Linked DNA regions of Macaca fascicularis. The protein of the gene in region 2 purifies or fractionates together with the protein of the main gene of each other region. This does not show direct contact. Links are inferred from orthologs where the notes say so. Each region holds a gene or a part of one and is shown on either strand. Other genes may lie near its edges.

Region 1 (3,953 bases), on a different chromosome or scaffold from region 2:
GAACGATAAAGTTTAAAGGGTTAAAGTTAGATGTATGACACAGCACATTAGTTTAAAAATTGAGAAAAAGAATGTTGACATTTTTTATATTTAATATATAATTCTTCAAGAATTTGAAGGCATTTGCTGAAACCAAAATGGCAGCCCAGCGAATTAGAAGACCAGCGAGATCTAAAGGAGAGTTTGTAGTCTCTATTTTTAAGTTCAAGTGTACTAACCAGCCAAGCTAGTCATGGTGAAGGAGTTACCTAAGGGTAATTAGCTCCGAGAGGGTTAAGTACCTGCTGGAAAGTTTCCTAATCAATGCACCCCAAATTATTCCCCTCAAAAGTGAAAGTATACATACGTTAGGTAGATTCAGGGACTCATGGGTTTCCAGGTAAAAGAGCGGCACACACACTTCTCTCGCCGAAAAATAAAGTATGAATAATCTATACCTACAACTTGCTTAAACTAAAAGACAATCTGAAACAATTATATACACCTGTAAACTGCACCGTGTAAATTCAATTAACGTTATAACTATGGAACTTCCAAAAAATAACATGCTTAATTTAAGCAGGTTCTACTAGAAATTTTGCAAATTCTCGTGTAAGTTGTAGTCGCTACAGAAATCCACACAAATAATTGAAGAAGCCATCTATACACCTGCTCTATAACTCTTTAACTTATTTCACAATGAATGAAAAATCAGCCATTTATCCAACCCTAAGCCTCACGTCACAAGAATCTGAAGATCTGATCACTAATAAACTCGCACATGCTAATATTTGCAGAAACAGTTAAAAATAGAAAGATAATAGGTCCAAGCTAGCTTGGAAGCGATTTCTGCACTCAAAAACCCCTTTCACGGCTTTGGCCCTCTGCAAATTAAGCGGGGTTAAGGAAGTGTAGGAGGCCGATAACCCAGCTCCGACTCCAGGAGCCCAGGGCCGGGGAGAAACTGCGGGTTATCGCGGGAGGGTGGGGGGAGGCGGACAAGTCGTCAGGCCTGATAGCCAGGCGTAGCCGAGGCCTAGCTCCCCGACTCCAAATCACTCCACCTCAGTAATGGCGTTTGGTGTCAAGTGGAACCAGACCGGGCAGGAAAGCGGCCGCCGGGCCGGGGGCGGCCAGCCCCCAAACCGACCCGGGCCCCGGGTGCGGACGGCGGGGGGGCTGCCCGCCACGCCCGGAGACTCCATCCTCCTACTCGGCCCCAGACAGGACGGGAAGGGGGAGGAGGGGGAGGGACGGAGCCGTCAGCCATTTTCCCTTACAGTCCAAAACACACAAGACACGCTCTCGGGACACCGGCTCCACACACAACACGGCCCCGCGCGCCCGCCCAGCCCGGGCCGGAGGAGGGGGAACGGGGAAGCCCCGGCCCGGCCGGCAGCCGCCGAGGGAAGAAGCTCACACACACGCACACCCCCCTCGCCCTCCTCCCCTCACCCACATCCAGCTGTTGGCCCCGGGAAGGCGCGTCGCCCCGGTGCAGCTGGCCACTCACCGCACGACACAGACGTCTTCTCAGAACCAGGGCACGTGGAGGCGGGAGGCAGCAGGCGACGCTGGGGCTCGGTCTCGGGACAAGACCTACCCTGGGTGCATCCCAGGCCCGTGGGTGACCGGCAACAAAGTGTATTGAAAGGCTGCGGCGGCCGGGCTCGGGGCTGAGGGCGTCTCAACCAAAAGGCTGCACGCCCGGCGCCGGAACTCGCTTCTCGCCGCGCCCGCCTCCTCCTCCTCCTTGGCCGGCTACGGCCCTCTTCCCCCTTCTCCCCTCAGGCTGGGGCTCTCGCTGAGCTCAGACGGGCTCCGGGCGGTGCGTTTCTCCTGCGTCACCTCCTCCTGCTCCTCCTCCTGCAGCGACGGCTTCACCTTCCCCTAGTCGCCGCCTCTGTCCCCGTTCCGGGCCTGGTGGCTTTGCAGCAGCTCTCTCCTAGCTCCCGGCGCCGACCCAAGCACCGGGCGCTAAGGCGGCCGCCTCCCGCGAGAGAGAGGCGGCGGCGGAGGGCTCCCGCGAGGCCCGGGAGCTATGCAAGGCGGGGAGGGGCTCGGCGCGGCAGAGGCCCTGACGGGGCCGGGTGCGGAGAGGTTGCGGCTCCGGCGGCGGCGGAGACTAGCGTCCGCAGCCGCGGATGCCCGTCCTCGTCAATATGGCGGATCCGGCAAACCAAAAAAAAAAAAAAAACCGCTCGGCCAGTGGCGGCGGCGGTAGCGGCGACGGCGGCGGCAGCAGCGGTGGCGGCGGCGGCGCAGACTCCCACTAGCCCCAGAGCCGCCCAAGACCCGAAGTTCTCCGCCCCCGTCAGACCCCGCCCCTCTCAGGCCCCTCCTTTCGGGCCTCCCCCTGCTCCTGCCCAGCCCCCTCCCGCTCAGCTGCCCCCTCTTCTCCCGCCTCCACCCCGGACCGTCAAGGCTGGGAGAGCAGCGCGAGCCGCCGAGGGGGCCGGGCTTGGGCGCGAGCCGCTGGGAACCCGGAGAGCTAGGGTGGGGGAGGGGAAGACAATGCGGTAAAGATTGTTCGCGCAGTACCGTTTCTTCCGGCTGGCCCCTTCAGGGTCGTGCTACCGCCAGAAATCCTGTTCCATGCCCCTCGGCTCAGGAGCGGGACGAGGGCAGAGGTGGCTCTAGGACCGAAGTTGGGGAAGGGAGGCCCGAAAAGATCTGGCACACCACGCCGGAGGGGCTGGGCGGCAGGGACTGGCGGGGTGTGCGGTCACGACGGGGTTAATCGCGTGAGCCGCAGCCGCGTCGCTCATAGTTTGACTCTGGCCGCTTGTTTTTGTTCCATTGTGAACCGTGGCCCCACCGACAAGAACCCGGATGATGACGTCACCGGCCTCCCCCTTTTCCGGGATCGTGGGGGGAGGGGCGCGGAAAGATGAGATCCCGAGACCACGCGCTGGGCTGTCGCCGCCGCGGTGCCTGGAGGTCCCGGCGGCGCAGCTGACCCGCGTCACGTGACGCACGAGCTGGCCGGGCCACTGGGCTGCGGGGGCGCGAGGTCCCGAGGGCCTGGCCACCTGCTTGGCGCCGATAGGGGGAAGGTGTGGCTATCTCCTGCAGCGGAAGGAGGGGGCGTGGGGAGTGAGGTCCTTTTCCCCACCCCGCGAGGGAGGTGCTCTGGGAAACACTTTCACACGATCGCGCAGCATCAGTACTTGAAAGCGTTTAGGCGTCCTCACAGCGTAACTGACGGGACTGACAACCTTGTTGGCTATAGGAGCCCTTCAAACAGACCAGGAAAGAAAAAAATTATAAAGTACCCCAGACGGCTTAGCGAATAGGCCGTACTTGATATGGCAAGATTAGCCTCCATTGCCAGATCATCAGCACGATTCGGTGTTAGAACCCGGAAGAAACTTATGAACCCATCCGCTGTGTCATGGACTATTTTCTACATGTTTATATTCCAAAGTGCAGGCGTAGGAAAAACTTAGGCTAATCTCAAATTAATGGGGTGCTTGGAACAATTCTATACAGTCTGCCTAGGATGCCCAAATGAAGAGGAAATTAACAGTTCCTAATTTACAGATTTCCTTTTGACTTAAAACTACCTGTGGACATCAAATGGCATGCAAAATCATAGTAAAACCTTACAAAACGAGATTTTATAGAGAACAGGGTTGAATTTAGTTATGCTATGATTATATCAGTTTGTAATAAAAGACTGTTAAAAATGGAACCAAACTAATTTAGGTGACAGTGAAAGCAAGTTATTGGTATCTTAAATTTTTAAACCATTTCTCTATTTAGCACTAGATTGTTTACAAATTTTTCACCACAAAATTACCTAATAGGGTATCCAAGATACATCATTCATAGCCCTAATAACTCTTAGCATATGTTACCTTGTTTTTGTAATTATTTCCATGAATCATTTGCTTACCCACTAGCTCATGGGCTTCTAAAAAGTAGACACGACCACCCGTGTACACTGTAGGCTGTTATCTTCGATTTTAGAT
Region 2 (3,511 bases):
CAAAACCCAGTTGCCAGCAGGAACGCGGTTCACCTCGATGTGGTACCTGAAGCAATATCCAATAAGCAGCAGTGAAACTTAAGCAGAGCATTCATTCCCTAATTTTTTTTTTTTTTTTGAGACAGGATCTCACTTTGTTACCAGGCTGGAGTGCAGTGGCACCATCTTGGCTCACTGCAGCCTCAAACTTCCAAGGTTCCAGTGATCCTTCTGCGTCACCCCCCAAGTAGCTGGGACTACAGGCACGCGCTACCATGCCCAACTAATTTTTGTATTTTTTGTAGAGATGGGGTTTTGTCATGTTGTCTAGGCTGGTCTTGAACTCCTGAGCTCAAGCGATCCTCCTGCCTCAGCCTTCCAAAGTGCTAGGATTACAAGTGTAAGCCACCACACCCGGCCTATTCCACAAAAATTTACTGAGTACTTGCTGCGTGCCAAGAGCAGAGGTGAGCAAAACGGATACATTCTAGCAGGGGAGAGATACAGTAAACAATCATTATCCACACATGTATGTGGTTACAAACTGATGAGTATTACGAAAGAAAAGTACAAGGTATTTCTGTGAGGACATAACAGGAAAATCTTACTCCAACTGCAAGCTCATGGTAAAAAGCTGCTGCCCAAGGTGTCCACTGTAAGGGGCTAGCAAAAGCATCACAGAAGGCCAGGCGTGGTGGCTCATGCCTATAATCCCAGTGCTTTGGGAGGCTGAGGCGGGCAGGTGGATCACCTGAGGTCAGGAGTTTGAGACCAGCCTGGCCAACATGGTGAAACCTATCTCAACCAAAAATACAAAAAACTAGGTGGACGTGGTGGTGCAAACCTATAACCCTGGCTACTTGGGAAGCTGAGGCAGGAGAATTGCTTGAACCCGGCAGGCAGAGGTTGCAGGGAGCCAAGATCACGCCATTGCACTCCAGCCTGGGTGACAGAGCGAGAAAAATAAAAAATAAAAAAAGGCCGGGCACGGTGGCTCACGCCTTTAATCCCAGCACTTTGGGAAGCTGAGGCAGGCATCACAAGGCCAGGAGATCGAGACCATCCTGGCGAATATGGTGAAACCGGTCTCTACTAAAAATACAAAAAAATTAGCCAGGTATGGTGGTGGGTGCCTGTAGTCCCAGTCACATGGGAAGCTGAGCCAGGAGAATGGCGTGAACCCAGGAGGCGGAGCTTGCAGTAAGCTGAGATCGTAGCCACTACACTCCAGCTTGGGCGACAGAGTGAGACTGTCTCAAAAAAAAAAAAAAAAAAAAAAAAAAAAAAAAAAGCATCACAGAAAACTTCCACTTTCCCAGCTCTTCAATATTCTGCCTTTTGGCATTTAGGGTGGATTTGACAAAAGGGGCCATCATTGAGGTAGAGTAGCCACCTTAGGGAACACAAATGTCTTGGTTTAACTTGTCAACTGGGAAGCCAAACTCATAAACTGACAAGTAGCCCAGAGGCCCAAGCTAAGTTTGACTCTGCAGATTGGGATGCTACAAGGTATCCAGTGAATCCTTCTCTCTTGGTCAAAGCATAGACAGTGGAGGTTGGGAAACAATTTCTTTTGGGAAGAAACACAAAGATTATGACTTAAGGAACAGAGGAAAGGAAATGGAAAGAGAGTTAAAATGAGTAACAATGGAAATCTTGCTACAAAAGTTCATACAAGCTTCATGCTTTCAAAAGGGCTTTAAGATGGCCTGTGGTGGCTCACACCTGTAATCCCAACATTTTGAGAGGCTGTGGTGGGAGGATCACTTGAGCCCAGGAGTTGGAGACCAGTCTGGGCAATATAGTGAAACGTTGTCTCTACAAAAAAATTAAAAAATTAGCCAGACGTGGTAGTGTGTGCTTGTAGTTCCAGCTACTTGGGAGGCTGAGGTGGAAGGACTGCTTGAGCCCAGGAGGCGGAGGCTGTAGTGAGCTGAGATTGTGCCACTGCACTCTGGCCTAGGCAACAGAGTGAGACCCTGTCTCAAAACAAACAAACAAACAAATAGGGCTAAAAAAAAAAGTTCACACAAGCCACCCAAAGTGCAAAGGCAAAGTTTCTGCCACTATTCCAACAGTAGCTGCCTTTGGCCCCAGCAAACCTTGGATAGGAAGAACTAGAAGTCAATAGCCCTGCAGATAGAGAGCCGCTTTACCCCCTCTTGCACAGAGCCTTGCAACTACTTCCAAGGAGGATCACCCCTTCCAGCTCCTTGGGGGCAGTCCCTGGACAGACACCGAGGCATACCCCTGGGGCTCTGGTTGGCAGTACCTGGCCACAGAGATCCAAAGGCGGCCCACAGTGCATATCTGGGAGTCTTCCTCATCCTCCAGGGTGTAGTTCTCCCCCAGTACCTTCACAGGCTGCCCAGCATGAATGGTGCCACTCAGCACCCGGCCAAAGGCATGAAATTGGACTCCATCATCTGTGCTGTACATCTTGGTAGTGTGGCACATCAGGGGGCCCTGGAAGAGGGGACAGGGTGCAGCTTCAACCACATCTACCCTCCGGGGAAGTACTACTCCCCACCATCTTCCTTGACAGCAAGGACATGAGCTCTATGAGGAGCTAGAGAAAGATGAGGTAATCTCATCTCCAAACTATGTTGTATCCCATCCCTCTAAGGAGGCTGAATAGGAGACATGGCAGAGCAAAAATATTCTCTTCCTTTTTTCTTTTTGGGAAGATAAGAGCATTGAAGAAGAGACGCAGATTTAAGATGGCAGACTGGCACTATTCACAAGATTGCTTACTGTCCCAAATTTCCTCTTAAGATGTAACTCAATTCTCAACTGGCTGTGTATTTATGACGAGAAACTAGACAGCCTAAGAAATGGCTGGCAAAGATGTTTTTAAAAGCCAGGACTGACAAGATTAGCTACCATTTGTTGAATCTTTAGTATCTGCCAGGCAACATGCTGAACACAATCGTAACACTTCCTTAATCTTATTTAAATCTCATAACAACCGCTCACATTTTATTATGCTCGTGTTATAGACCAAGGCCTTGAGGCTCAGGAAATGTGAGTAATGTTCGCAAGGTCATGGCACTAGCAGCGGCAACATTAGGCTTTGCATTCAGGCCTGACTGTGCCCATGGGGATGGGAAGGCAAGGGTGGCGAAGAGGGCATGACTCCGGTGACCAGAAATCAGTATCCCCACACAGGAAAGGAAAAAAAAAATCAGAGAACCAGGGAGCCACGTGCCCTTACATCAGGGTCACAGTCACTCATAGCCTCGCCAAGGTCGGAGTCCACACCGCCCGTGTAGGTGTGCTCAATCTTCGGCTTGGCGCCCACCTTTGGAGAAGGGATATGCTGCACACACATGTCCACAAAGCCTGTGGATGGAAAAGAGAAAGCCATTACTACATGCCCCCCGGGGAGCACGAGCAGGAGTTACTCAACCATTCACAATGGTCAGAAAGCTCAAAGTGCGGGGACTAAAAGCTCTGGCACTATGATTCTAGGGGCAAAGTTGATAGCCTGCTTTCTGGGAACGTGCTGCTAAAAGATGTGGAGTCACCCTGA

What was found. The genes of interacting proteins can lie anywhere in the genome.
Region 1: the proteins of EFTUD2 (region 2) and USP9X fractionate together in Homo sapiens (co-fractionation; 3 studies listed by BioGRID, with this or other methods). This does not show direct contact. The link is inferred for Macaca fascicularis from reciprocal best matches to the Homo sapiens genes EFTUD2 and USP9X.

What each region holds. Positions count from the first base shown.
Region 1 is NC_088395.1:41,067,335-41,071,287, reverse strand, and holds the start of USP9X (ubiquitin carboxyl-terminal hydrolase 9X), read right to left. Parts: upstream 2,802-3,953; 5' UTR 2,521-2,801; intron 2,254-2,520; exon of another isoform or gene 1,493-2,253; intron 1-1,492.
Region 2 is NC_088390.1:65,920,239-65,923,749, forward strand, and holds part of EFTUD2 (116 kDa U5 small nuclear ribonucleoprotein component), read right to left. Parts: intron 3,322-3,511; coding exon 3,194-3,321; intron 2,446-3,193; coding exon 2,252-2,445; intron 47-2,251; coding exon 1-46. UniProt on the Homo sapiens protein: Required for pre-mRNA splicing as component of the spliceosome, including pre-catalytic, catalytic and post-catalytic spliceosomal complexes. Component of the U5 snRNP and the U4/U6-U5 tri-snRNP complex, a building block of the spliceosome.